2 linked regions of the Rattus norvegicus genome follow. The protein of the gene in region 1 interacts with the protein of each later gene in a biochemical or structural test. Links are inferred from orthologs where the notes say so. Each region holds a gene or a part of one and is shown on either strand. Other genes may lie near its edges.

What was found.
Region 2: the proteins of Pias2 (region 1) and Sumo3 form a complex in vitro, tested with the Homo sapiens proteins (2 studies listed by BioGRID, with this or other methods). The link is inferred for Rattus norvegicus from reciprocal best matches to the Homo sapiens genes PIAS2 and SUMO3.

Annotation. Positions count from the first base shown.
Region 1 is NC_086036.1:72,895,253-72,910,316, reverse strand, and holds the start of Pias2 (E3 SUMO-protein ligase PIAS2), read right to left. Parts: upstream 8,611-15,064; 5' UTR 8,435-8,610; coding exon 8,411-8,434; intron 8,332-8,410; exon of another isoform or gene 7,971-8,331; coding exon of another isoform or gene 7,968-7,970; intron 1-7,967. UniProt on the Homo sapiens protein: Functions as an E3-type small ubiquitin-like modifier (SUMO) ligase, stabilizing the interaction between UBE2I and the substrate, and as a SUMO-tethering factor.
Region 2 is NC_086038.1:11,003,636-11,018,599, reverse strand, and holds the end of Sumo3 (small ubiquitin-related modifier 3), read left to right. Parts: intron 1-1,454; coding exon 1,455-1,583; intron 1,584-5,626; coding exon 5,627-5,698; intron 5,699-7,374; coding exon of another isoform or gene 7,375-7,401; exon of another isoform or gene 7,402-7,595; coding exon 7,596-7,706; 3' UTR 7,707-8,866; downstream 8,867-14,964. Other genes in the region: Ube2g2 (ubiquitin-conjugating enzyme E2 G2), read left to right, coding at 13,612-13,654. UniProt on the Homo sapiens protein: Ubiquitin-like protein which can be covalently attached to target lysines either as a monomer or as a lysine-linked polymer. Does not seem to be involved in protein degradation and may function as an antagonist of ubiquitin in the degradation process.

The sequences.
Region 1 (15,064 bases):
GCCTTAGGAGCAACAGACTATTGCATATAGCATATGTAAATACTTGACATACAGCCCAACTATATAACTATGTATTAGACTATCCCACCTAAATTTATGTAAATACATTCTATAAAGCCAAATGTGGTCACACACACCTATAAGATCAGGAGCTCAGAAGTATCTTCAGCTACAGTGTCCAAGCTACATGTGACTGTACCAGGAAGGGAGGGAGGGAGGGAGGGAGGGAGGGAGGGAGGGAGGGAGGGAGGGAAGGGATCTGAAGAGATGCTTCAATGATTAAAAGCACTGTCTGCTGTTCCAAAAGACATAGGTCCAATTCCCAGACCCTACATGGTGGCTTACAACTACCTGTAACTTGGGCTGGAGAGATGGCTCAGCGGTTAAGAGCCCCGACTGCTCTTCCAGAGGTCCTGAGTTCAATTCCCAGCAACCACATGGTGGCTCACAACCATCTGTAAAGAGATCTGGTGCCCTCTTCTGGTGTGTCTGAAGACAGCTACAGTGTACTTATATATAATAAATGAATAAATCTTTAAAAAGAAAAAAACAAACTACCTGTAACTCTAGTTCCAAAGGCTCTGATGCCATCTTCTAGTGTCTGTGAGTTCAGATATACATGCAGGTAAAACACACAAACACATAAATAAAACAGAACAATATTTTAAGAAAGAAAGAAAGATAAACAGATATAGCCCAAACAACAACACCCTATGATAACTGCACAAAACTGAAATTACCTGTCAATATACTTATCAGAAAGTGACTGATGTTAGGTGATACTTGAGTATAATTCCATATCTGAGGGGAAAGGAAAGAAAAGAAGCCAAAAGTGGCAGACCATGCCTGTAATCTCAATACTCAGGAATTAGAGGCAAGAGGACCAGAGAGTTTAAGACCAGCCTGTGCTACTACACGAGACAGTGCATTAAAGAAATAAATAAAAGTTAACCATAGAAGATTATGCATCAATTCCATTCCTAAATATGGACTCAAGAGAACTGAAAGCCTATGTCCAAATAAAACTTATGCTCATGTAGTTAACACTGGTACTAGCCATTAAGTAAAAATAACTCAATGCCAAACAATACATTCACACAACGGAACAAGAAGAAACAGATTACTGGTATTTGCTACAACACAAATGAATCCAGAGGACATTATGCTAAATGAAAATGAGCCAGACATAAAAGGCCAGTAGTGTTGTATGATTCCATTGATAAGAAATGCTCAGGGTTGGGGATTTAGCTCAGAGGTAGAGCGCTTGCCTAGCAAGCACAAGGCTGGGTTCAGCCCCCAGCACCGAAAAAAAAAAAAAAGAAAGAAAGAAATGCTCATGACAGGCAAACCCACAGACAGAGTAGGTGCTATGGCCTGAGGAACTACTGCATATGACTTTTTTTGGAATAATAAAACTGTCCCTGAATTAGACAGTGATGACACTAATGTGACTTTGTGAATAGTCTAAAAGAGCACCATATTCGATACTTTCAGTGGCTTAATTTTACAGTATTTAAATTATCTCAATTTAAAACTAACTAAAAAAGCAAACATCAAACCAGGCATATTGGCATACACCATTAATTCCAGCACTCAAAAGGCAGAGGCAGTGAATTTCTGTAGTTCCAGGACAGCTAAGACTGTTACACTAAGAAACTGTATTTTGGAAAACCAAAGGGGGGGGGGGGGATAGAGACAGAGACATCAAACCCACGGAAACAAAAGCAAAAATGTTGAGGAATATGTTCAGATGATATGTCGGGAATCTGCCATTTCATCATCAGAAAAGTTAATTCATGTTTACTGGAGGGAACATACAGACCTACAAAGCAAACAAACACAAAAGTACCTACTACTACCCAGAATATCATGGTTCATTGACAACTGGAAATTGTCGTTTTATAAAAATTTCATTTTAAATTAACATATCACTTTGGCATGCCTTCATAGACAATTTAAACAAAGTATTATTAGGAGGCTGTTTTTCCTAATAGCACTGAAAACACCATGGATTCTGTCATACAGCACGTACATTAGTGTTTCCCCTGTGTAGTGGTTTGGTGGAGGGAGATGAGGACTTAGAACTTCGACATCTCATTAGCCTCTCATTCTTCCTCTATCCTAATAGTACCTAAGATTTCAAAAGTCCAGACCAGGCCCACGTATCTTCCTGTTGACTGTGGCTCAGGATATAAAGCTTTAATGGTTCTCAACCTGGGGCTCGAAAGACCTTTACATAGGGATACCTTAGACCATCAGAAAAACTGAGATATTTAAGATTCTAACAATAGCAAAAGTAGTAATAAAGTAGCACTGAAATCGGGCTGGAGAGATGGCTCAGTGGTTAAGAGCACTGACTGCTCCTCCAGAGGTCCTGAGTTCAATTCCCACAACCACATGGTGGCTCACAACCATCTGTAATGGGATCCAATGCCCTCTTCTGGTGTGTCTGAAGACAGCAACAGTGTACTCACATACAATAAATAAATAAATCATTAAAAAAAAAGAAAGAAAATAGTCTTATGGCTGGGGGTCACCACAACATGAAGAACTGTATAAAGGGTCACAACACTACTTGCAAAGGTTGAGAACCACCACCTTAGCTACTGCTCTAACCTATGCCTGTTTGCTTCCCATAGCCATGAAGATGAGATAACCGTCTCAAACTACAAGCATGCTCCCAAATTAAAAGTTTTCTTCTATAAGTGTTGCCTTGATCATTGTGGTTCTTCAGAGCAATAAAACAGAAGCTAAAACAATCTTGTAGCAAGTTAATTCACATCTAACAAGTTAAGCATCTAGGAAACCAAATTATTTCCCTGGAAAGCTTCTTATACAAACCATACTATTATAATCACCTTTGACTACACAGGCCACCTTCTTTCTTAAAGAATTCCCCCCTTCTGGGGTTGGGGATTTAGCTCAATGGTAGAGCGCTTGCCTAGCAAGCGCAAGGCCCTGGGTTAGGTCCCCAGCTCCGAAAAAAAAAAAGAAAAAAAAAAAAAAAAAAAAGAATTCCCCCCTTCCTTTCCTTCAACCCATTAGAATGGCTTCCAAAATCAAATTTGTACCATGATTCCAATACCCTAGAAATGGACAGTCAAGTGGATTCTGACCAAAGCTCCAGACGCATCATATTCTTTTACAAGAATGAAGAAAGCAAGACTAGTAATCTAGTAGTCACTTGGGACCTAAAGGTAAAACACAGAGCAGCCATAGTATGTGGCCAGTGTCTCTCTGTGAGTTGCTCACATAGTCTTGAAGAAAAAAAAAAAATCTTATTGAGCAACACCTTAAGGTTCTACAGGTGCTTTTTTGTCTCAGGGTTTCCAGTGCTGTGAAGAGACACTACAGCCAAGGCAACTCTTATAAAGGACATTGGGGCTGGCTTACAGGTTCAGAGGTTCAGTCCTTATCATCACAGTGGAAAGCACCGAGAAAGAAGCGTCCAGGCAGACATGGTGCTAGAGGAGCCAAGAGTTCCACAGCTTGATCTGAAAGTAGCCAGAAGGAGACTATATTCCATACTGGGTGGAGCCTAAGCCTAGGAAACCTCAATGTCCACACCCACAGTGACACACTTCCTCCAACAAGACCACACCTACTCCAACAGTGCCAGACCTAATAGTGCCATTCCGTATGGGCCAAGCATTCAAATACATGAATCTATTCAAATCACCACATTCCACTCCTATCCCCCATAGGCTTGTACCCACATAATGCAAAATACATTTAGTCCAACTTTGAAAGTCCCCATAGTCTATCAGTCTCAAACAGGTTTAAGAGTTCAAAGTCTCTTCAGAGATTTATGCAATCGCTTAACTGTAACCCCTATAAAGTAAAAATAAAAAAACAGATCCCATACTTCCAATGTATCATGGCACAGGATATACATTACTGTTCCAGGACAAATACTTAAGGGAAGCAAGACTGAAACCAGCTGGACAAACTCCATCTGCATCTCCATGTCTGATGTCAACACATTCTTCAGATCTTCATCTCCTTTCAGCTTTGTTGACTACAACACACTTCTTTCTCTCGTGCTGGTTCCACTGCCTGTTAGCAGTTTCCTTGACAGGTATCCCACAATTCTGGCATCTCCAACATCTGAAGGTCTCAAAAGGTAATCCAGGCTTCACTTTCACAGCTTCACACAATGGCTTCTCTGGGCCTCCATGAAGGGGCACTCCTGCCACACACGTGGCCTCAGCAACTTTCCTTGGTTGCAGAAGGATGTTTCTTAACTCTAAAGCCAGAACCACGTGGCCAAAGCTACCAAATTCGGTTGCTTGGTGGGCCTGGAACATGGGCTCCCTTGTTCAATTACAGACTGAACAACTTTCTGTTTTCCCCGGTTTCCTTCAATGCCTAAGCTTGGCTGTTCTAGAACTTGCTCTGTAGACCAGGCTGGCCTTGAACTCAGAAATCTGAATGCCTGTCTCTTAAGTGCTAGGATTAAAAATGTGTACCACCACACTTGGGCCTAAACTTTTCTTTAATTCCTTTCCATTATAGAATTTAATAAGCATCGCCACTATGCCTCAAGATCTGAATTAAAAGCTTGTGTCATTCTGCCTCATGATCCTCATCAAAACCCTGGGTCTTCCAAGTTCAAGATTAGATATGCCCTTGATATCTAGACTGTAGTTCATTCCAGATAGTCAAATTGACAACTGAAAATAGCCAACACAATCCACCTGACAACATATAATCGTATCTTCTTATATACAGATGAAAATAACCAAGTCATAATAGTGTTTAACATGATATAACTATCCCTCACACAACTGCAAACATTTGTAAATTTATAATAGGTGGAAATGTCCCTTGGGAAACATTCTTTTCACAAGACGGAAGCTTAGCTGGATGGAATTTTGCCTGAGGTCACCATTCCCTTAATTTCAACTAATATCATTAATGTGTTATCTCCTTGAACACAAAATTTAGTTCCATTCCATTTCCTGATGCCCTTTTAATCCTTGAACCATACATTTTGTATTTTTCTTTCTCAGCTTGCTATGTCTGATCAAAAGGCTCTTCTTAAGAGGCTCTTCTTAAGGATATGTGCCACAGACCTGGGCTTGGTGGCACATATCTTTAACCCCAGCACTCAGGAGGCAGAGGCAGGCAGATCTCTTTGAGTTTAAGACCAGCCTAGTCTACAAAGCAAGTCCAGGAGAGGACAGCCAGGGCTGGTTACACTGAGGGAAGAAAAAAAAAAAAAAAAACCAGAAAATAGAGGGTGGGCGAGGGGGAAGGGCGATGAAGGGGAGAGAACAACAGTACAAAGTTTGTACTAGGCTGTTTTGAGATTTTCCTTTACCAATGAAATTAATCTAAATCTCTTCTCCTTAGCCTCAGGCAGACTTCAGACAAGGGCAAAAAGCAGCCACATTCTTCACCAAAATAGCACAAAAACAATCTTTAGGCAACATACCAAAATTCTTCCCTGAAACCTCATGAGCCAGGCCCCCGTGTTCGAATCGCCCCGGCACAAATGTCTTCCATGGATCTATTTGTATGACCTATTAAGTCCCACTTAGAGCATCCCACACTTTTCTTAATCCAAGATTTCAAAACCCACATTTCTCCAAACAAAAAATGATCAGGCCTATCACAGCAATACCCCAGTCCCTGGTACCAACTTGTCTTCTTAGTTAGGGTTCCACTGATGAATGAGACACCATGACAAAGACAACTCTTACAAAGTAAAACATTTAATTGGGACTGGCTTGCAGTCTCAGAAATATAGTCCATCATCATCATGGTGGGAAGCATGGCAGCATCCAGGCAGACATGGTGCTGGAGGAGCCAACATCATCTTGATCTGAAGACAGCCAAGAGGAGCCTGTGTTCCATACTGGGTGGAACCTGAGCATAGAAGACCTCAGAGCTTGCCCCAACAATGACACACTTCCTCCAACAAGGTCACATCTACTCCAACAAAGTCACACCTCCTAAACTCCCTATAGGCCAAGCACTCAAATACATGAATCTTATGGAGGCCATACCTATTCAAACCACCACGCTTATCAAATGACACCTCCCTTCCCCACCCCACCAAGCCTAAAAAGTGAAAGAACATAACTAAACCGCAATGAGGGGATGATCTTTCTCCAAAAGATCCCTCTAGAGCAGACAGCACCAGGGACATGCTGACTACTCAACAGACTGATCCTCAACAGCTTAAATTATAGTATCCGAGAATTCGTCTACCATTTCTTCCACTGCCAAGATAACCAAAAATCTAATGTCCATAATTTCTGATTCTATATTGAATTAACTGTCACTGGGATCATCTGAATATAATCTGTACCAGAAACCATCATTCTGAGTGTCCAGGATATTTCTTCCCCTTCTCTTTCTTTCTGATTATAGTTTTTTGGCATTGGTTTGGATTGTTTGTTTTCTGTGGGGTTTTGTTTTTTGGGTTTTTTTGGAGGAGGGTCCACTGTTCTATTTTTCTTCCACTTTTATGATACAAAAAGATAGTATTTATCATTTAATTTAGTCTATAAATAGAGTAATTAGGAATCCCACCTAGTCCCAAAGGCACTTGAACAATGAAATCTAACATGGATTCAAGAACTCAAGACTCTGAAATCAAGTAACTAGTGTTTAAAATTTTAAGATTTCCTCTCTCAAACTATAATCTAGATGAAAGTTTGTCTATGTTCATTTTCTTTACAGAATTAGGAGACTAGCAATGTATATGTGAAGTATCTGAAGCAGAGTTTGGCATGTAATAAGGTGATATTAAAATGAGTATATGTCATCATCACTTCCTGTACTCAGACTGGGATAAAGTTCTTTAAATTTAAACTAACATGAGTCTGCCCTAAGCAAAACATAGTGGGTAATTCTCCCAGCATCTACTCAGCCTGCCTGCCTGCCTGCCTGCCTGCCTGCCTGCCTTCCCTCCCTCCCTCTGGAAACTCTGAGGTCAAGTCTCTGTTGGTCACTTAACTATGAATGGGGAAGCCAACAACATTACCTTTTACCAAGCACAAAGAGATGCAAAACCCAGATGATTTAGGGATGAGAAAATGAGGCTGAGCCACAAATCAAAACAGAGAAAGCAGAAAGGTCCTTTTGAGGTCCTGGTTTCACTCCAATCTGAGTACTGATGTCCTTTCCCACCCTATGTGGTTAAGATTAATTCTTCTCTTTAACCAGCAACGTTTCTAAAAGTCTAATACAAGCCCTACAAAGGTTTTCACCAACCAAATTAAAAAAAAAAAGCTACCTTCCTTGGGAGAGGAAATATACATCTGTTACTGTGCAAAAGTTAAGGTAATACTGCATGTAAAAATACCTCCAGTGTTCAGTTTACTGAAGTGAGGCTCAGGCCTGATTGTTTCAAGAGCTCCAATAAACACTTAAGACCGATATAGTGCAAATATCCTTTTCAGTCATGGTTCTCTGTATAAACTGATAAGGGATACAACATGCATCGGTATAATTTTTATTGGGAAAAATCATCTTTTCCTGAAACAGGAGGGAAAATGGTAGGCCCTAAGCGAGCTTTCACATTCACTCTTTTGTTGGTGTCCAGCCAGCCAACATCCTTTTCCCACAAACAATAATGGTCTTTAGAAAGCAGAACAGATTAAAGTAACCCAAACGCCAAACATGGCTGGGTTACCTCAACTGGTTGCAAGTTCATTTAACTTCAAATCCATACTTTGTCTCCACTTTAAAACACACACACACACACACACACACACGGTTTCTATCTGTAAACATCCCACATATGTCGTCAGTAATTCGGCCTTCAATGCAGCTCACTATACCTGGTTTAGTTTGGGATATGGTTTCTGTGAGATGATCTGTCTAGCCTCTACGTTAGACCCCGACTACAAAGGTACCAACAATAAAGTTACGAGCTTGTTCTCATGCTAAGAAACAGTTTCTCCTCGAGAGCACAAACTACATACGTGACAACACGGACTTTGAAGATTTCTTACCATGGTTACAAACCAAGTCCCTGGGTCTAAGGCGGACTACGGAAGGCGGTGTTCCCAAAAGACCGCGCTTCTCCCCACGCTGAGGGAGAAAGCGCTGGTGGGAAGAAGGGGCCTCATCTCGTGACAGACCTGCCTAGACCACAGCGGGGACAGGAAAATTCCTAAACACAACTTCGCGTTTCCGAAGGCGGTCGGTCTTTCACACAGTGCTCCGGGGTCGCCACCGCTGAGGCGAACGCCGCTGCACGCGCCCGGCCGAGTCCAGCCCGCCAGGTGTGCGGCCCGCCGCCCGGGCCATCCGCCCGCCCTCGCCCGCGCTGTCCCTCCTCGCGCAGCGCCCGACGACACGGCTCCGCCAACCGGCCGCACGCCCCGGCGGCGCCGCGCTGCTCCCGCCTCCCCTCCCCCCGCCCTGCGGCCTCCGCTCCCCCCGCGACGCTCACCCTCAACTCCTCGAAATCCGCCATTTTATCCCGCCCGCGGGCGCCTCAGCCGTCACCGCTCCTCCGCCCGCTACCGCCAACGACACCGCCGCCGTCTCCTGCAACATCCTGCACTGGGCGCCGCTCTAGACGCCGCGGCCGCCGCCGCCGCCGCGCCACCACCTCCACCACCTCCACCGGGCCCCTCACGTGACCTGAGCGGGAGCCCCGCCCCCGGCGCGCACAGGCCCCGCCCTTCGCGGCGCCCCCAGCCCACCGCGCGCGGTCTTCCGCCCGAGCGCCCCCCACGCGCTTCCGGTGGTGGCCTGTCCCTGCTGAGCCCAGTCCTGCTCGTCGCTTCCTGCCCCTGCTCCCTGTTCCCTGCACCGGAGCGCAGGCTGCTACTGAGGCTCTTACCGGAACTGTGGCGTTCTCCCCGGACTTGGAGGACGGCCTTGGCTGAGGAAGTGGCCAAGAGAAGAGAGTTGACAGGACTCACGGAAATCTCACTGTGCTCTACCCAAGGTGGCTGAGAACAGAGGAAGCAGCCTCAGGGCCATCCCCAGAGTAGCTGTGGTTGGATAATACAAGTATGGGTGATGGGGAAACCGTTGTTCCAGGCTAATGGTGATCGCGGTTACGAATTTTTTTTAATGTGTTTTTGTTGAGATAGGGAGTCTCTATGTAACCCAAGCTAGCTTGGAACTCTTTTGTGGACCAATTTTGAATCCGAGAGATTCACCTGCCTCTTGAGTCTTTTGAGTGCCGGGATTAAAGTGTGTGCCACCACGCCCAGTTGGATAAGACCTTTTAGTTTATGTCTTAACTTTTCACCTCGCCTGATATTTTTCCTGACCTTGAACGGACTACCAATGGCCTGGACAGCAAAGTTGAAATGATTGTGGGTGAGATTAGGAGAAAAGTGAAGTAAGAGCACCCCAGAGAACCCTGATGAAATTGGAAAGTCAGGAAATTCTGATAGCTGCAGAAAAAAATGAGATGAGAGACAGAAGGAGGATTGCTGATATTCCCAGACTCGGTTAAAAAAATGAAAAGAGGGGTTGGGGATTTAGCTCAGCGGTAGAGCGCTTGCCTAGCGAGCGCAAGGCCCTGGGTTCGGTCCCCAGCTCCGGAAAAAAAAAAAAAATGAAAAGAAGAAATAAGCCGGATACTTGAACTTGGGGGGTTGAAGCAGGAGGATCAGGTTGTTATGAGCCAGGTGGAGGCCACCCTGGAGTACAGTGTGAGAATGAAACAAAAAACAAACGTGACAGACAATGCAGAGTCAAACTGACTGGGCACACACAGTTCAGATTTCATTGATAAGACTGATGGAACCCCTGTTTAATATTGCTCTTACCTAAGGTCTTTTTTCCAGTTACAGTCATTCTGAGAACATTGCACTTGTATGAGTTTTAAAGTGTTGGATCCATGGGCAAAGAATTCCTACTCTATATATCTGTCGGTTCTAACTAGCTCACGAGGATCTTCCAACATACTAATCAAATGCCTTGATAAGGTTAGGCCATAGTTCAGTAGTAAGCTCTGAGCTAGACTCTGTTAGTCCCTGGCCTCCATCCCTTCCCCCCACACCACCCCCCAAAACACCTAAGCGCTAGAATGCCTCTCATTAAACTTTTACCCAAGAGCTAACTGAAGTAAGGTATACATGTGTAATAAGTAATTGAACTTTAATGAGTGGGATGTGGACAGTTGACTCAAATTAAGTTTAAAAACAAAACGCCGAGTCTTAGTCACTGTGCCACTTCTTAGTCACAGTGATTGGTATTGCTGTGAAGAGAAACACTTTGGCCAAGACAACTATTATAAGAGAAAGCATTTAATTGGGATCTTGCTTACAACTTCAACAGTTTTGGTCCAATTATGGTGGGGAGCAAAGCAGTATGCAGTCAGGTGCTGAAGCAGTAGCTAAGAGCTACAACCTGATCCAGATTGAGAAACCTGGGTGTGGGCTTTTGAAATCTGGAAGCCTAATCTCACCAACACACTTCCTCTGAGAAGGCTACACTTCCTAATCCTTCTAATCCTTTCAAATAGTGTCACTTCTAGACACTAAGCATTCAAATATAAAAGCATATGGGAGTTATTCAAACCATCATATTCTTTTCACTGACCTTCATAGTCCCCATAGTCTATCACAGCCTCAAAAAAAAAAGTTCAAAGTATCTTCTGAGAATCAAGGTATCTCTTATTGAAAACCCCTGTAAGATCAAAATCAGATCTCCTACTTCCAATACACAATGGTACAGGATAGGTATCACCATTCCAAAAGGGAGGAAAGAGCATAGTGAGGAAATACTGGACCAAAGCAAAACCAAAACCCAGCAAACTCCAAATTCTGCATCTCCATGTCCTATGTAAAGTGTTCTTCAGCTCTCCGGCTCCTTTCAGCCTTGTTGACTATAACACGTCTTCCTCTCAGGCTGATTCCCACCCTGTTAGCTCTCCTTGGCAGATATCCACTACTCTGGCATCTGCAGTTATTTTGGGGCCTCCAACACAATCCAGGCTTCACTTTCAGGGCTTCACACAATGGCCTCTCTGGGTCTCCATGCAGGGACACTCGTGCCACACACCTGGCCTCAGCAACTTTCCTTAGCCTCGGATGGAGAGGCCATAGCCTTGGAGGGAGAGTCCACAAGCCCCTTCTTGCATCCTTGGCTCTAAAGCCATAACCACATCGCAGAAACTGCCAGGTTCTTCTGATTGCTGGAGCTTGGTCCCCTCCGTCAATTACATTTTCACCAGCTCTCTGTCGTTGACGGTTTCCTTTACTACTTAAGTTTTTCTCTAATTCTTTCCCACACGTTGGAAGGTTAGCTGGGTGAGGTCTTGCTCCAAGGTTACAACTCGCTTTATTTCATTTGGCATCAAGCTTTTTTTTTTTTTTTTTTTTTTTTTTTTAACTGTTTATCTCCTTCAGCACAGGATTAGCTCCATAACACTTCCTGGTGCTCCTTTTCCTCCCAAACTACACCTGGATGTCTCTGTCCAGCTTGCCCCTTTTCATCATTGTAGATCTGCATAAGAATAGTTACTAAAGCCACGGGACACAGTCAGTACTATGCTGTCTTAAAATCTTTTCTGCCAAAGCCATTAATCCAAAACTCAATTTAGCAGCAGGCAGAGTTTTAGGACAAGGGCAAAAACAGCCGCATTTTTTGGTCAAAATACATCAAGAATGATCTCTAGGCCACTTGCTAATATTCTTTCCCTCCGAAACCTCTCGAGGTGGGCCGGTCATGATCTACATTGCTCTCAGAACCACTGTCTTCCATGTTCCTTCTAGGATGGCCCATTAAGCCCCGTAAAGTCCCAAAGTCCACACTCGACCAACAAGCAGCATGCCCTGGCCTGTTACAGTAATGCTTCAGTCCTGGTACCAACTTCTGTCTTAGTCAGTGGGATATTGCTGTGGAGACGCCATGGCCCAGACAGTTATAAGAGAAAGCATTTGAGTGGGGCCTTGCTTTCACCTTGGGAAGTTTGGTCCGTGAGCAAAGCAGGGAGCAGGGTGGCACGCAGGCAGTGCTGGAGCAATAGCTGAGAGCTACATCCTGATCATAGGCTGAGAGACTAAGGACTTGAAACCTCAGAACCCACCCCCAGTGACACACTTCTTCCAACAAAGCCATACCTCCTAATCCTCTGGAATGGTGCAACTCCCTGCCTCCTCTTACTCAGCGCTGGGATTAAAGACGTGCCGTCACTGCCTGGCAGAGTATTGGTTCTTAATAAGGGATAAGTCATCTTCCTATTTATCTTTCCTATGCCTCTTTTTACATACCTTGGATGCGTTCACTTGTAGATTTCCTCCTTTTCTCTGATTTATCAGTATGATAAAATGGATAGATTTACAGCCTGTGGGCATAGTGGTCTGCAGTATCCCCACCCCTGAGGATGAAGCTAGAGGACAGTTTTAGGGAGAGATGAAATGGACCCCACAGTCCTCAGGTACTTGACATTTGCTTCCAGTTGCCAGTACTGTTTGAGTAAGGAGTTAGGAGGTTTGGCCTTACTGGAAGAAGTATGTCATGGAGCTTGTATAGGGGTGTGGTTTTTAGCTTTCAAAAGACATATAGCATCCTAGTTTGCTTTCTGTTTCCTGTCTGTGGTTTGAGGTATGGGCCCTCAGCTCTCAGCGCCAGCTGCTACAATTCCCAGCTGCGATGGTGATGGACTCTTATCCCTCTAGCGCCATGAGTTAAATCTATCCTTCTGTAAGTTACTTTGGTCATGACGTTTTATCACAGCAATAGAAAAGTGACTTAGACAGATCGTAAGTACCAAGCCATCCCGACATGCCTAGTAAGAAGACCCGGCTTCAAGCAGACAAATAAAAAAAAAATGGAGATTATAAGTTTAAAAACCTAGATTCTAGGGGTTGGGGATTTAGCTCAGTGGTAGAGCGCTTGCCTAGCAAGTGTAAGGCCCTGGGTTCTGTCCCCAGCTCCGGAAAAAAAAAAAAAAAAAAAAAAACCAAACCTAGATTCTAGACCAAGATAGAATTTTGGCATAGGTTCGGTAACATAATAGGATAACAGTAAATCTGCTTTTATGCAAAAATGAGAAGCCAATGAGTGAAGTGATAACACACAAAACAAGAAACAGGTAGTTTTGAAGGGATAATAGGGAATGACTAAATGACTCAACGGGCTAGGGCGTTGGCCAGCAAACCTGACCACCTGCATTCCATCTCCAGGACTGATGAGCCTTGAGCACCATCCATTGTGGAAAGGGTTGGGATATTGCAGGTCTAAAGTCTAACATCCTGTGCCTATCAGGTGGTGCCTTTTGGAATGTGTTACCTCAGCAGACCATTGGGTTGCACCAACTCACAGCCTAATAGTGTCATCAGATGTTATCTAAGGTCACAACAGAGATTCCTCTGCTTGGCTGTAGTTTGTCGACCTGACGTTTCCCCAGGCAAAATATTCATTCATGTATGTATGTGTATGTATACACACACATATATATCTAGATACACACACACATATACATATATATACATATACATATATATATATACATATATATATAATCTCACATTGAGGCTTACCCCTCTAGCATAGCTGTAGCCATTTTGTTCCATGCCTGCCAGCTATTTCATATTGTTGACAGAAAAAAATAACTTGACTCAGAGCAGGGCCATGATGACCACATACCCTTATGTTCTGTATGTTCTGAGGTTTGTTAATCTTAAGAAACCCACAACCATAATCTCCACCTAGGACCAATCAGAATTTGGGCTCCGACCTGAATAAATACAGCCCTCACCTACAGAACTCATTGATACACAAGCACATAAAGCAATATACAGAAGAATATGCGCTTCATTGCTGCTGATAACAATGACAATAAACCCATGAATCCAGTGAATGGTCAGCTAGAATGCAGTAGATTCCTGAAAAGAACGCAATTTATAAAACAAAAAAACGAATAGGTCAGAACCATATAGAAGAGTGGACACATCTCAGAAACATTGCTAACCTGGGCTGGGTATAATGGTGGTTCTCTAATTCCAGGACATGAAAGGCTAAGGCAACAGGATCACTGCAAATTCCAAGCCAGCCTGGTGCAAATGTGGTTTCCAGGCCAACTGGAGCAACATAGTGAGACCTTGTCTCAAAGGAAGGAAAGAAGGGAGGGAGGAAGGAAGGAAGGGAGGGAGGGACGGAGGGAGGGAGGAAGGAAGTTGTAAGAGTTGCCAACTATGGGTTGGGGATTTAGCTCAGTGGTAGAGCGCTTGCCTAGCAAGCGCAAGGCCCTGGGTTCGGTCCCCAGCTCCGAAAAAAAAAAAAAAAGAGTTGCCAACTATCCATGCAAAATTAAAAACAATGCAAATTCTGTACATCCATGGCCATATACATTTGTGGTAGAATTTCAGCAGCAGCATACATTATGAAAGATAATTATCAAAAGTGGAGAAGTGAGTAACTGAGGAAAGGGGATAAGATCTGTAAGTCAGACTGGGGTTTACACAATATATAACATGTGGAATAATACATACTATATATTGTGGAGTACACACACACACACACACAAATTTGTGTGCAATTTTTTAAGGCAGGGTCTCACTGTGTAGCTCTGGTCTGGAACCAACCATGTTGACTAAGTTGGCCTTAAACTCACAAATATCCACATGGCACTACCTCCTTGGTATGTGTGTATGTTGAAATTTTGCACTTCACTTTTATTGATGTTGTGTGGACGTGACTGGCCACATAACACAGCATACATGTAGAGGTTAGAGGACAACTTGTGGGTGTAGATGTTCCCCTTCTACCATGTGGTGCTCTGAATGCATGCTCAATGCCTTCCATTACCTATGATATTTGAATACTTGGTCACCACAGGCTTAGGAGGTGTGGCCTCCCTGGAGGAAGTACATCATGGGGCCGGATTTGAGAGTTTAAAGACTCATCTTATTTTTCTCTCTTTTTTTGCTTCATGTTTGCAGCTCACTGTGAGCCCTCGGCCTCTGCTTCACACACACACACACACACACACACACACACACACACACACACACAAATTTGTGTGCAATTTTTTACTTAGTTACTTTCTTTTGCTATAACCAGGCATCATGATCAAGGTAACTTACAAAAAGAGTGTATTTGGGGCTTACAGTTTCAGAGAGAGAGTCAATGAATG
Region 2 (14,964 bases), on another chromosome or scaffold:
CCCTGTTGGAACCTCTCTCCTGCCGACCATTCCTCAGACTAGAAAGAGCTGTGCTCCTATCCAAGACTGTTAGAACCCAGTGCAGGGCAGGTTGACTGTTCTACCTCTTTCTCCAGGGATAAAAAGTTGCTGAGGACATCCCAGGGAAACAGGGTGCTTCTTGTGGAGCATGTTCTGTGGAACTGTGGGGAAAAAGCTGGCGTGAGGACAGGGAGAAAGCTTGGTCTGCAAGTAGAATAAGGGATCTGTCTCCTTAGAAATAAAAGGTTCTCAGCTGGAGGGATGGCTTAGTGGTTAGGAGCACTGACTGTTCTCCAGGGGACCAGAGTTCAGTTCTCAGCACCCACATGGCAGCTCACTCCTGTCTGTAACACCCCAATCTGACCCTCTCACACAGACACGCATGCAGGCAAAACCCCAATGCATATAAAATATTAGTTAATGGTCCCAAGGCTGCAGACTGCTCAGCAGTTAGGGTCGCAGGTGGCTCTTTCAGAGGACCTGGTTCAAGTCCCAGCTCCCACGTTACTGCTGACAAACATCTGTAACTTCACTCCCGGAGGATCTGGCACCTTCTTCTGGCCTCCTTGGACACTGCCTACGTGTGATTCACAGACAGACGTGCAAGCAAATACTAATATACATGAAAACAATCATAAAGGTTAAAAAGCCCCTGTGAACTCTTATCCATGGTGGCTGAAATGGTGCATCCCGTGGGCCGAGCCTGCTCTGAACAACAGAAAGGAGGTCCTTTTCAGACTGAACAACCCAAGGTTGGCTGTGCGGCCCATAACAAACTTATTGTTCAAAATGTGTTTCCAGGCAGCAAGAAGTGCTGACTCGGCCCTTGTCCAGCAGCTTGTGTGTATCGTGATTATATAAAAACTACTGCCACTCAATACGGTTTTTTCCTCCAGTATGGAGGATGGAACCCGGGGCCCTGAGCACACGTATTCTTTAGAGCTATACGGAGCCCAGAAGAAAGAGCAGAGTCTGAGATCAGAGGGCCTGGGGGGACCTCAGCCTTTACCACCTCCACTGGATTCACTCAGGGTCCCCTAGTGCCCTTCTGGTTCTCCACCCTTGGCTTTATGCTGGCTTTTCTTACCAGTCAAAGAGCCAAGTGTAGCCTGCAGGTATGTGTTTTTACTAGCCTCATAAGTAATTTTTTAAGCTTTGGCTGTCTAGATTTAATGAGCAGATTTTTGTCTTTGAGTTGGTAGTCTGTAAGGACTGGCTTTGCACTGCGGTTTCTACCACTGTGCTTAACGAATGTAGGTTAAAAATAAATTCTGTGTAAAAATAAGACAGTCCCACGAGCAACTCTGAGCTGCTGGGGGAATTTTGAGAATTAGGTTGTTTTTAACGAGTCAAAACAACAACCTTACCCAAGAACTTGCGCTTTAAACCCTGGTGATTCTGGCTTTCGAGACCCTTTTTTTCATGTCTTGCAGGAGGGTGTGAAGACAGAGAACGACCACATCAACCTGAAAGTGGCAGGGCAGGATGGCTCAGTGGTGCAGTTCAAGATCAAGAGGCACACTCCGCTGAGCAAGCTGATGAAGGCCTACTGTGAGAGGCAGGTACGTGCTGACCAGAGGAAGGAGTCTTGTGGGGGGTGGGGGATGGGGGCTGCTTGTGTTGCAGGCTTGCCTTTACTGCCCTGGATCTTGGTATCAGCATGAACTTATAGTGTGCCTCTCCCTGGGCTCCTACACATGGATAGGTGGATCTTGGGCTTAAGCAGACTCTAGTGGGACTTGCTACCTGGTAGACCATCATAGTGGTGGCACACTCCTATAGGGGCAGTAAATGGCTCTGCTGAGGCCCTATGGTGCACTCAGACGTGGATCAGTGCTGGTTCGAATTCCTCTTTCTGGTATCCATCCAATTATGCTCATGTATGCTGTCCTCATTGGCGATTTTATTTTATTTTTTAATGTTATTCAGGAAAGTAAGGCTACATGCAACCCCATCAATTCATTACTGTTTTACAATAGCAAGCTGACTGACCTTGTCCCCAGCAGTGAGCAGGGTTGTCTGTGACTGTGAACTCATGGCTCTTGTACACACCGTGCTTGGGTCTGTCCATCTATTCATTCTTATTAGGACCTTCTGGCAGATGGGCACATGCTAGCCCGCCTGGAAGGCCTTGGACTCCTAGTCTCAATTGCTCCTCCGATGTCTGCCTCAGTGGCTTCTTGGCTTGCTGTACATAAACCCAAGTGCCAGATCCTGTTTGAACCCTGCCAGCTGGTGGCTCTCAAAGGGGGCCCTGCCCTTCTGTGAGGGTAGCAGCATCTCCTTACGGTGGTTCAAGGTTGCCCTGAGCGCTTGCCCGCACAGCTAGGTACTGTCCTGAGGTGGTACCATGCTTTTTCCTTTCCTACCTCCTGAGCCCTGCAGATGGTGCCCTCGGCCTCCTCTCTTCTGGGTTTTGACCACAGATACTTCTCACCTGGGAAAGGTGAGACGGAGCTTGCTGGTGACACCATGTCCCCCTTGTGCCCTCCCAGCTGAGTCAGCTTCGTGTGCTGTGTGCCACCACTTGGACTGCACATGTGTAGGCCTGTTCCTTGCTCTTGTGGTTGTGTTTGCCCGGGTTTCTGCTGAGACGCTATGTTGAGGGTGCACACTAGGTCAGCTACCTCAGTGTTCTGGGGCATCCTGCTGGCCCCACCCAAGCCATTGTTTGGAGGTGAGGTTGTATGCACAGCTGCCATCCCAGAGTCTTGGGAGAGTCATTCTGGAGTCTTCTTTGTCTTCTCTTGAGTCTTTTTCTGTGTTAATAGCATCATCTCCCACATCTGACAGGGACATCTTGTCACATCTGGCTGCATGTAACAGTGTAGGCTGCGGTGAGCTATCAGGAAGGTGCCATCATTCTCTGTTAGCATCCTGTGTTTTGGGACACGGGTGACATTCTGCTTCTCTGATGTGAGATCTCAGCAGGGGCTCAGGAGAACTCCTCACTCTGGCATGGTGCTCTCTGGGCCCTTCCCATATGTAGACTTGTCTCTACCTGTCCTGCTCCTGGGTAGACAGACGTCTACCTCTGCTGCTGGGAGTGCCCAGTTCCCCTCAGTCAGCCAATCTGTGTGCTTACCTGTGACCATTTTCCTCCGTTCAAAGATTTATTTATTGCGTGTACGGTATTCTGCCTGCCTGCATGTCAAAGAGGGAATCAGATCCCATTACAGATGGTTGTGAGCCACCATGTGGTTGCTGGGAATTGAACTCAGGACCTCTGGAAGAGCAGTCAGTGCTCTAACCGCTAAGCCATCTCTCCAGCCCCCAGAAGTGCTCTGTCTGCTTCTGTTTTGTGGTTTTTTTTTTTTAACCTAGTAGCAACTTTTTTTTGTTTTCTTGGTGTGTGTGTGTGTGTGTGTGTGTGTGTGTGTGCGCGCGCGCGCGCGCGTGCACATGTGCGTGCACACACAGTTTTTAACCTTCCTAAAAGCTTTAAGTGTACATGTGTTTTAACTGCTCCATCTCCTTTTTTCTGCCTCCCAATATTGAAGAAACTCGAATTGATGTTATACAGGATTTGCTTAGGAGACATGGAGTCATACAAAGTGGAATTCAGCTAAAGGAACACTGTCTCCAAAACACCCTAAAGATAAGTGGGGTACCAACCAGGCCTGTTAGAGATAAGAGACACTTAGGAGGCTAGGATGTCAATGTTTCTTCACAAGGACTGTTAGCTCTATTCTCACATCAGAGGCAACAACCCTGACTTACAAGCAGCTATTAGACCTATCAAATGATACGCCTCCAGGAGGACCGAGCAGGGTCACAGCCAGTATTCAGTCTGGCCTGGTATAAAGTCCCCCTTACTGAGAAATGCACGCGGTTAGGTGGGCAGGATTACCCCAGGTAAGAACCATTTCAAAGAGAACAGCACTGGTGTACTTAAAATAATTCTGGCGATATGCCGTATCTTTGCTGTGTAAACTTCCCATCTGCCTGAGTGGCCAGACTTGCAGTGTCCTGTGTCTGTTTAAGTTGTTCACAGTGTGTCCTGGGCCTGGGACATGTTGCTTTCTTCTTTTCTGGTCTCTTCTCACCTATTTGAGTCTTTTCCTAAATGCCCCCCACCCCCACCCCCAGTTTCTGCTTGTATTTAAGAGTGATGGAGCGAACCCCCGTGGGAAGGAGAAGGGCTGTGTGTTTGGGTGGACATAGCAGAGGCTGCATGTCCGCAGGGTGGTTAGAACTGGGGAGGTCTGGGGGCCCAGGTGCTGCTCTGAGAGGCACTGTTTCCTAAGGAAGATTGCCTCCCAACTGTGCCCAGAATTGGGGTTCAGCTGGAAGACTGAGGAGTCTCTGAGGGTCATCAGGGATGCAGGCTTTTATTAGCCTACACTGGGACACCCACTGCTCATACCTGTCTTTTTTTCTTTTTAAAGATTTATTCATTTATTATATATAAGCACATTGTAGCTGTCTAAAGACACACCAGAAGAGGGGATCAGATCTTTACAGATGGTTGTGAGCCACCATGTGGTTGCTGGGAATTGAACTCAGGACCTCTGGAAGAGTAGTCGGGTGCCCTTAATCACTGAGCCATCTCTCCAGCCCACTCATACCTGTCTTGACAGAGCTCTCAGTCCACATCTCTAGAAAGCCCTGCTTATTGCTGTGAGAGAGAAACTTTCTTGGCCTCTGAGGATTGTGGGGGACTTTGAACCCTTGGTGATTCGTGTGAACTTTTTATTTTTATATACATGGGTGGTTTTGCTTGCATGTATGTATGCCTGTGTACTATACAAATGTCTGGTTTTCACAGAGGCCAAAAAAGGACATTACATCAGATCCCCTGAAACTGGAGTTCCAGGTGGTTGCAAGCTGCCATGTGGGGGCTGGGAAACCGTACCTGAGTCCTCTACAGAACAGCAAGTGCTCTTAACCCCCGAGCTAGTTCAGCCCTGAATGAGAACTTTCACAGAGTTGACCCAGGGGTTCCTGGTCTCACATCCCTGGGGCCCTGAGGTTTTTGGTGTGGCACACATGGGAACCCTGTGTCCTTAGGCTTGCGGCTTCAGATTCCAGCCAGCAGAGAGACCAGTCATCTCTGGGTTCCTTCATAGAGGCCGTGCCTTTCCTTCAGGAAACAGTCACAGCTGTCCCATCTGTCCTGTTTCAAGGACAGCAGGGCTGTCGAGGGAGAGGGCACTTCTGCCTGGTGTTGACCTGCTTCCTCCCGACAGGCTGAGGCCCACTGCCCTCCTTTCAGGATGGGAAATGCCTTTCTTTCCTGCCATGCTCCTCACAGCCTTCCTGATTCTGGCCCTGTGGTCACCTGACCTGTTTCTCTCTGGGAACTTTCCAGAGGAGGAAATGGTACTAAAGTACAGAAGGGAGGAACTTGGCTCAGCTTTCCTTCTGGGAGGAAGTGAGAGACAGAATTAGGACAGGCCTAGTGTTGGAATGAACTGGAAACTTCTGAGAGGGTTAGTTTGGGGCAGCATAGGCTGTAGATTGTGGGCCACTAGGGCTCTTTCTGCTCAGCTGGGTCATGTGTGCATATGCGGAATGCTCATACTATTGATGGCCCTGAATACGTATCTCCAGGTTAAACTGTGTCAGCTGGGAGTGTCTAAGGCTTTTCCTTCCTTCTCCCCAGGGCTTGTCAATGAGGCAGATTCGATTCCGGTTTGATGGACAACCAATCAACGAAACAGACACTCCAGCCCAGGTATGAAGTGTCTGTCTCCAGGTTCTGCGCCATTTTTAGTTTCTAAACGTCCATTTGGAACACTGTTATTTGAGAAATGGCTTGTTTCCACAATGATTTTTTTTAAATTTATTTATTTTTATGGGCATTGGTGTTTTGCCAGTGTGTATGTGTGAGGGTGTCAGCCAGATTTTGGAATTACAGTTGTGAGTTGCCATGTAGGTACTGGGATTTGAACCTCTAGAAGAGCAGTCAGTGCTAACTGCTGAGCCATCTCTCCAGCCCCTCGACAATGATTTTAGTTATTAGACTTCAGGTTTTGATACTTTGAGATTGAGTTTCTCAGACAAGTGGTAGTCAGACATATCTTTGTTGTTTAGAGGCAGTGTCCAAGTGTAGGACCCACACTCTCAGGCTGATTGCCCAGAAATCCATCCACTGTGTGGGCTGATAGAGGGAACACAGCTCCTGAGGTCCTGAGGGCTTAGTGCCAACCGTTTGCTCTTTATTGGAGTTTGAACTGGAGTCAGAACTTAAATATTTGTCTTACTTTAAAAAAAAAAAAGATGTATTTTTATATATATGAGTACATGGTCTCTGTCTTTAGACACACCAGAAGAGGGCATCAGATCTCATTACAGATGGCTGTGAGCCACCATGTGGTTGCTGGGATTTAAACTCAGGACCTCTGGAAGAGCAGTCAGTGCTCTAACCACTGAGCCATCTCTCCAGCACCTGTCTTACTTTAAAAATATTTAATTAAAAGTATTTTTGTGAGGGCTGGGTAGTTGGCTCAGTGGTTAAATACACTTGTTCTTGCAAAGGACCTGGGTTCAATTCCCAAAACTTACAACTGTCTTTAGCTGTAGTCCCAGGAAATCTGATGCCCTCTTGTGGCCCCTAGTCATTAGGCACACAAGTGATGCACATATGTGCACATAAAAACTAATTAAATGGGCTGGGGATTTAGCTCAGTGGTAGAGCGGTTACCTAGGAAGCGCAAGGCCCTGGGTTCGGTCCCCAGCTCCGAAAAAAAGAACCAAAAAAAAAAAAAAAAAAAAACTAATTAAACAATTTGGGGGGTGGCTAGGTGGTTATGGTACACACCTTTGATCCTAGGATTCGGGAGTTATAGGTAAGCCAATCTCTTGAGTTCGAAGCTGGCTTGAGCCACAGAGCGAGTTCTAGGATAGTCATGGCTACACAGAGAAATTATGTCTCAACTCTTTTTTTTTTTTTTTTTTTTTTTTTTGTGGGGTTGGAGAGATTAGCTTAGGGGTGAAGAGAAGCAGCTGTTCTTCCAAAGGACCTGGGTTCGATTCCCAGTACCCCCCCTGGCACCTCAACACTTCTATAACTCCAGTGTTGGGGATCCAAGAATCCTCCATGCATTTGGGGTACATAAGCTCACATAACTACATACACAGACACATAGAAACAAAAGATAAATGAATAATACTTTTTTTTTGGTGAATGTGAAATGTTTCTCTAAAAATGCTGGGTCTGGCGCGATAGCTTGCTGGGTAAGATGCTTGTCACCAAACCCAATGACTTGAGTTCATGTGAGTGTCCCCCTCATTAAAAATGTATTCAAGTGTCTTAAGATGCTGACATTGCCGTATATGAAATAGCGTAAGTGCACAAAGTGTTTTCTGTGGCTGATGAGTCTGTTTTTAATGACCCCATTTTTCTCTCAGTTCTTAGCTCTGATTATTCTTCTGTGAATCTTGTCAGAAGTCGGGTGGATAAGTAGTTACTGAGACTCCACAGTAACCCTTTTTCTCGCATGCTGCACTCCAGCCAAGGTGACTGGGCTGTGTCTAGTGTAGGGGAAGCCGTTTGGGAGCGTGGTATCATTGTGAACTGACTTCTGGATTTCCTGTCTCCTCTCCCTGGCCCGCCCTGGCACCTTCGAAAGCTGGAGATGGAGGATGAGGACACCATTGATGTATTCCAGCAGCAGACGGGAGGAACGGCCTCCCGAGCCAGCGTCCCCACACCCAGCCATTTTCCTGACATTTGCTATTGAATGGTGACCATGCAGCCACACCAATCACACAAGAGTCCGCAGAAGCCAGAGTCACCGAAAAGAGTCTCCTTTCCCGATGCGCTTGGAGTGAACTACATCCAGAATACGCTGCAGGGCGAGAGCATTACATACCCTGGTCGTTAGGAGGGTTTGGTTTGGGGGAAATGAGGCGTGGGGTTTTTGGGGTTTGTTTTGTTTTCATTTGTTTCCTCCCATTTCTAAAATTTTTTCTCCCCCAAACTTGGGTCTGGATGTACAGACTCTCACCCTGTGGCCTGAGTCTAATCCCTAGAACTATGGTTTCCTCCGGTGTGACTTGTCCTGATCAGGTAGAGAGAGCTTGTGGTCACATTACCCAGTGGGCATACCTGTGGGATGTGGGGAGGGGCAGAGAAGCAGAATTCCACCCGTTTGTTGTAGGCATAGGATATTAAAATGTGAAATACTGTAAATTTGAGCTTTGTCAAGCATATGGTGAAGTTAAGGGAAAAAGACCAGTGCTTCTTAAAAACTGTGAGGAGTCTTCCTACTGTGGCCCAGGCCGGCATATGCCCACTTGCTTCTGGCATCTGGTAATGGATACATCGGTAAGGGTGGCATAGTGAAACCCACCCCCCACCCTTTTTATAATGTCCAAGAAAGTAATTGTCCCGTCCCATTTGGAAATTGAACATGATCTCAGATTCTTCTGGTCCTTGCTAGATATATAATTATGGTTTCTGTCTAAGAAGGTAATCAGTTAAGTATCAAGTTTGCTGCAGTGTTGTGTAAGAGCCCCGCTTTCAAGTGTGGTTGCAAAAGCAAGCCCAGGAAAGGTGACCTCATTTTCCCGGATTGTGGTGTGCAGTTTTCCAAGTGTGTGTTAACGGGACGCCTCGGTGGGTGACTGCGGTTCTGCATCGTGGGGTCAGTTAAATGTCTATAGTTCCTGCCTGCCATCCTTCTGTAAGGATCCATTGCTGCTTGATGGCCATCTCTGCCTTTTATAGTCACCCGACACTGACCTACCATCTCTCGCTTGCTTAAAGTCCCGAGGAAAATGTTTCTGCCTGTTTGCTGCGTGGGCCTGGGTGGGGTGTCTGTCGGCTCTGTTGTGTTTCTTCACCGGTTTGTACCTGTTGTCCTTTACTACTGTAAACAGTAAATATAGTTTGGTATTCTGTCTCTTGGCCTATGTTAAACGCTGTATTTGGAGACTGGTCATATGTCACAGCTCACTGTTGACAGTCTGTCCAGTGAGGCCACTCAGACGGACAGACAAGGCATTGCTTAGCTTGCTTTGCAGCATGTGTGCCCTGTGCTGGTCCTGAGTCTGCACAGACTGCACAACTAGGCTCTCCTCCCCTTGGTGTGTGAAGATAAGGTGGGCTTTAGAGGCAGGGCGTAACGTGGGGTCTCTCAGTTCACGACTGCTCATCTGCTTTGGCAGGAGTTGGTGCTAATTTGGCTGTGAGGGGTTTCAGTACTTAGGTGAGACAAAACCAGGGTTCTCATGGCCCAAGCTATTTTAGCCTGTAAGTTAAGCACCAACACCAAGCACTTAATTCGTCCAGCAGGAATGTGTGGATTAAAATGGAGCACAGAGCCATTTTCTAGGTCCCTCAAAGATTAATTACTTTCTCAATATTGTCACAGAGTTAGTGGCAAGCAGCCTAGAGGAGCAAGAGTTTATTTTGGCTTATGGTTTGAGGGTACGTCCTCATGACAGGGAATACAAAGGTAACTGGAGCATTAGGCTGCTTGTTGGGGCTCTGGGGGATCAGGAAGCAGTTAATCCTGTCAGGAAAAGGTCTTAGGGTATACTCAAAGGTGAACTTCATTAACACTCTAGGCATTTTTTAATTGATTCAAGTTTCTTGTCAGCCAGACACCCAAATACATCATTGTAGAATCAATCTACTTGGCTCTTTAAAATCATGTGTTACATATTACAAAACACATTTAGTCTGTCTCTGGGTGCCCACCCTCAAAGTTCAAAGTCAGCTCTGAGACTCCAGATGATTTTTGAGCCCCTGTAAAATAAACAAGTTACTTCTAACATATAGCGCCAAGGCCTATTTCAAAAGGGAGGGACTGGAGCATAGCAAAGAAAGATTAGGCGGAAGCCAGATTAATGAAAGCCAGCAGGGCACAAACCGAAGCCTGCTGCTCCGTGTCTAGCGTCAGAGGTTCTTGACATCATTTGGGCCCCGGTAGCCGTGGGTAGTCCCATCCCACAGTTCTGTTGCCTGAGGTGTCTGTGGTCTCTGTTGGGCCAATACCTGGTGCCTGCAGCACTCCTCCATGAACATCTCACCCTTCTGGCTTCTCTAACATCTGGGGATCCCTTACTATAGAACCTCTGCCTTCTCAACTCCACACAGCTTCGTCTCAGGGCCTCTGTACAGGAAATCTGAAATCTGATATTCCCATTCATTGCCTTGTTAGTGGCTTTCTGGAATCTTGGCACAGATTTCCATCCTTTCTCCTCCCTTACAACTTGCAATTGTGGATGCTGCCACCAAATTTGGCTGTCAGTTCCAGATGAAGCCTGGCACCCTTAGGCCACAGTTGCAGCCACCTCTGTGTGCTCTCGCAGCTGGGAAAACATCTCCGTACATGCTGGGTTTTTTTACCCCCAGCAGGAAACCCTGAAGACTCTCTTCAGGCACTCTCCTTTCAGATAAATTTGCATTTTTTTCTCGGAGCTGGGGACCGAACCCAGGGCCTTGCGCTTGCTAGGCAAGCGCTCTACCACTGAGCTAAATCCCCAAGTCCAAATTTGCATTTTTATTCCCTGGAGTTCTCATTTCAATAGGTACTGTACCTAGTGTTCCAGTGCAAGGCCTCAGACAGCTCTTGACTGGCACTAAATTCCTTTAACCCCTACGGTCAGTTTGTTCCAAATCTGCCCTGCCCTTAACTTGGTCTGACCTCTACTCACCAAAGAACACTTCCCACATTTCTCTGAGCCACTTTCCACCTGTTGTCACTGTAAATCTGGATAAATGCGGCAAACGAGAACCATGCCACAGCCTGGGTGTCCGGTAGGCTGCCTTGAAAATCCACCTGCCAATCAGCTTCCTTAGCCCATTGCTTTTGAAAGTTAGCCTCATTCCATCCAGTTTTTAGGTTGCAGGGTAAACACAAAATTGTTATGGGGAGTCCACCAGAGAAAACCACTCTGATACTCTGTAGCCAATTAGAAGTCTTTATTCCAGCCAGCCGGGACCATGCTTAGGTATTTGGGATTTAAGACTAAAGAGCACTGGTCGGAAAGGGTTCTATCAGTATCAAAAATACAGTTCTAAAGTAGCAGCAAAGGTAATGTTAAAGTTGGGGGTCACCACAACACAAGGAACTGTGTTAAAGGTTCTCGGCACTAGGAAGGTTGAGAACCGCTGGTTTAGAGTGTGGAGTAAGGTGTCTTTAAAGACAAAACCCACATCCTGATAACTCAGCAGTTTGCAGGGAGAAGTTTTGTGCAAGCAAGCAATTTAAAAGCAGTCAGCTGGAGGAGGTTCTGCACAAGGTTTTACAGAAGCTAAATTACCTAGGCACCTTGACCTCAGGTGCCTAGAATAGAGTTGAGTGACTGTCCCTGGGGCTTTCCATCAAGGAGATCAGATTTTAGTTAAACCTAATATGGCCTCAGCAAGAATCCAAGATGGAGGAAACTGCATGGTGTTGCCCTGTCACGGTGTGATGTGAAATGGTTGCCAGCCGAGTTTCTGATGTGCTCCCTGTTCACCTCTGGGATAAAGCTTTGTGAGCAGTCTTGACTGCCTGCATTTCTTGGCATTCTGGTCTTCCGGATTCCCACCAGAATGGGAATGTTAGCCCTGCTCACAGCATTCCAGGGCTAGTCTAGCTCACAGCTCTGAACCTGTTTTCCACTTTTCTCCTTAAAACTAGCTCTGGCTGGGGCTAGAGAGATGACTCAGAGGTTAAGAGCACTGTCTGCTCTTCCAGAGGTTCTGAGTTCAAGTCCCAGGAACCACATGGTGGCTCACAACCATCTGTAATGGGATCCGATGCCCTCTTCTGATGTGTCTGAAGACAGTGACAGTGTGCTCATATAAAATAAATAAAAATTAAAAAAACAACAAAACAAACAACCAGCTCTGAAGAACTGTACCTCGTGGTCAGGTTTGTCACCGCAATGGCCTCAGTTCATGGCACTATTTTACTCTTGTTTTCTTGCTGCTGGGATCAATACCTGACAAGAAATAAGAAGTTAGTTTTCTCTCAGGGTTTGAGTGGACACAGTCTGTCCTGGCGGGCAGGTGGCCCCAAGGCGGCAGCAGGGTGTGACCACTGTTTCCTCACACAGCTTAACTGAAGAGGAAGGAGAGAGAAATGGAAGCCAAGCTGATCCTAATCCCAAAACTCACCCCCATCCCCAAGTAACCCACTTGCTCCAGCGAGGCCTCATCTGCCAAAGGTTCCACCGTGACCAGTGTTCATGAATATGGGCGCGTCTCACATTCAGACTGACCCAGGGGATCGGGGCTGCCACATCATTTGGATGCCTTAGAATGGCTTGTGCTTCTACAGCAGGAGGAACAGTGTGTCCTGGAGGCCGCCTTTTGTCCTGTGGGTGGGGCATGGGGAGGGTTATGCTTGTGTGATTTTCACCCTACATGTAATTGGAGTACCATCCTAATACTCTTTTAAAAAACGACAAATGAGATGAACCTAATGCCACAAGTTCCCAGCAGGAACTTTCCCTTTGTCCCAAAGTACCTAGTCCTGGGAGCCCCTTTGTTCCCAGAGCCCTGCCCAGAGCTGTATCCCTCATGTCCACTCAGGGAAAGCAGTTGTGCATCCAAGAAGATACCAAGCATCTATCTGGTCACTTCCTATGAGGAGGAAGTTCATCTTCCTAGGCACAGAGTCTGACATTTTTTGGCCAGAGAGGGTGGGATATGGCCCGGGACCTTTCCTCTGTGAAACCAAGGTACTTTCTCTTGCCAAAAGTGCCATCTTGGAGCTGGTGAGATGGCTCAGTGGTTAAGAGCACTGACTGCTCTTCCAGAGGTCCTGAGTTCAATTCCCAGCAACCACATGGTGGCTCACAACCATCTGTAATGGGATCAGATGCCCTCTTCTGGTGCGTCTGAAGACAGCTACAGTGTACTCATAAAATATATATACATATATATATGTGTATATATATATATATATATATATATATATATATATATATATATTTTTTTTTTTTAAAGGTGGGGTTGGGGATTTAGCTCAGTGGTAGAGCGCTTGCCTAGCAAGCGCAAGGCCCTGGGTTCGGTCCCCAGCTCCGGAAAAAAAAAAAAAAAAAAAAAAAAAGGTGCCATCTTCTCAAACCACCTCTATCTCAAAAGCCAGATGTAGTGGCACAAGTCTTCAATTCCACTACTTAAGAGACAAGAAGGTAGGCAGGTGGGGAATCTCTGTGAGTTCGAATCCACCCTAGGCTACATAATGAGTTTTAAGACACCCAGGGCTACATAGTGGGTGGAGTGGGGCGATAGTGGTGGCCTCAAGATTCAGGATCTATACAGCCAATCATGAGGAGCGCGCCAAGCGTAAGGAAATGTCTCATTCGGGAACAATCCATAATGGGCCATTCATTAGCTCTCGCAGGATTTTTCAAGACTAAAGAAGGTAGAGCCGCGGCGTAGGAAGGCTCCAATTCTGAGGGTGAGGCCGGCCGACAAAGTTCTAGGACCCCGAGCTCCGTCAGCCTGGGCCGTGACACCGCGAGCGCAAGACGAACCCCAGCGAGCCTCTGTCTGGCACACCCCGGCGCGCCACGTCACCCGCGCGCGTCCCGGATACACTTGCGGCTGCAGGCCACGACCCGGAAGCAGCAGCGGGCGTCGGAGCGGGCGGGCGGGACCGGCGCGGATGTGGCGAGGCTGCTGAAGGCAGGTTCCGCGGTATGGCGGGGACGGCGTTGAAGAGGCTGATGGCCGAATATAAGCGTGAGTCAGGCGGCGCCGTGATCCTGTCCTCTTCCCCGAAGCCGCCCGCGGCGTGGCCGGGCATGGCTCGGTGCGATGCGGTGCGGTGTGGTGCGGGCGTACTGGGCCGGGTCGCTGGAGCCCGGGTGCAGAGAGAAGGCTGGGCTGTCGCTGTCACCTACCCGCCACGGCCGGCTTCAGCGGGGCAGGCCCTGGGCGCAGAAGCTGGCCCGACCAGCGCCGCTATGGCCCTGCGACCCGGGCCTGGTCCCTGAGCCGGTGTGCGCATCGCCCTCCGGACAGTTGATGCTGCGGGGCGAGTGCCGGGTAATCCCTGTAAGGTGATCGTGAGGTCTAGGAGAGTTGGGGAGAAAGTTAAAAGTAAACAAAATAACAACTCGAGCCTCCGGCCACGCTGCAGGTGCGAGTTGCTGGGGCAAAGTTTCTCAGACACGGGCTCCGGACCGTTTCCTTGAAGCCGGATCTGTGTTTCTGTTTTACTTTTTCAGACCTGTTTCTAGATTGAGAAACATCATCCCCCTTTATCTAAAAAAAGAGGGAACAGTAGTTAAGCTCCGGGACAGGAGTTTAAGTTCTGACCGCTTCTGTTTAAGGGCATTCACATTAAGAGAAAATTTTATCCCCCACAAGAGTCTCAACTGTTAAGGTCAGACAAAGCTTATTGTCACTTAGTTTGAAGGGTATTGCCACCTAGTTTGAAGTTAGGTCATGAATCATCTCAGTGAGAGAGAAAGAGAAAGAATTTGGTTAAAGAGGGAACCCTAAAATAGGAAAAAGGCTCCCCTGGCGAGGAACTCGGGGTTCACAGAGGAGAGGGCTCCACTTGCTGTGGCTGCTTGGAAGAGGAAAAAAGGGCAGGGAGCTAAGGGTGGCCCCAGGCTGACAGCTAGTCTGGGACCAGTGTTAGAGCCATATGGAACTAAGTTGTGCCAGCTACTTGAATGGACTTGGGTTGCAGCTCTGAGACACCCAGCTGTCCTGGCTGGGCCCAGGCCCACTGACACATGGAAACCATGAGGTCATCAATGGATATTGTTTAAGCTTGTGGCAACAGCGACAGGAAATTCATCCAGCAGCTCTAAGCAGGAGGAGTAAGGTTTTTTTCTGTGTCCTCGTAATTCATTAAAAGTCCCACTGAGTGTTTTTCTTCTCTTATGCTGTAAAAGGTTTGTCCTCCGTATTTAAGACCGTGTACTCTAGTGTTAGGTAGATTCAATAGGAATGTCCAAGGCTGGACTAGAGCGTAGGCAGATTTGGGTAGGTGCTCTTTCTTACCTGATTGTACTGTAGGTTTAGAGGTGTAATGACCT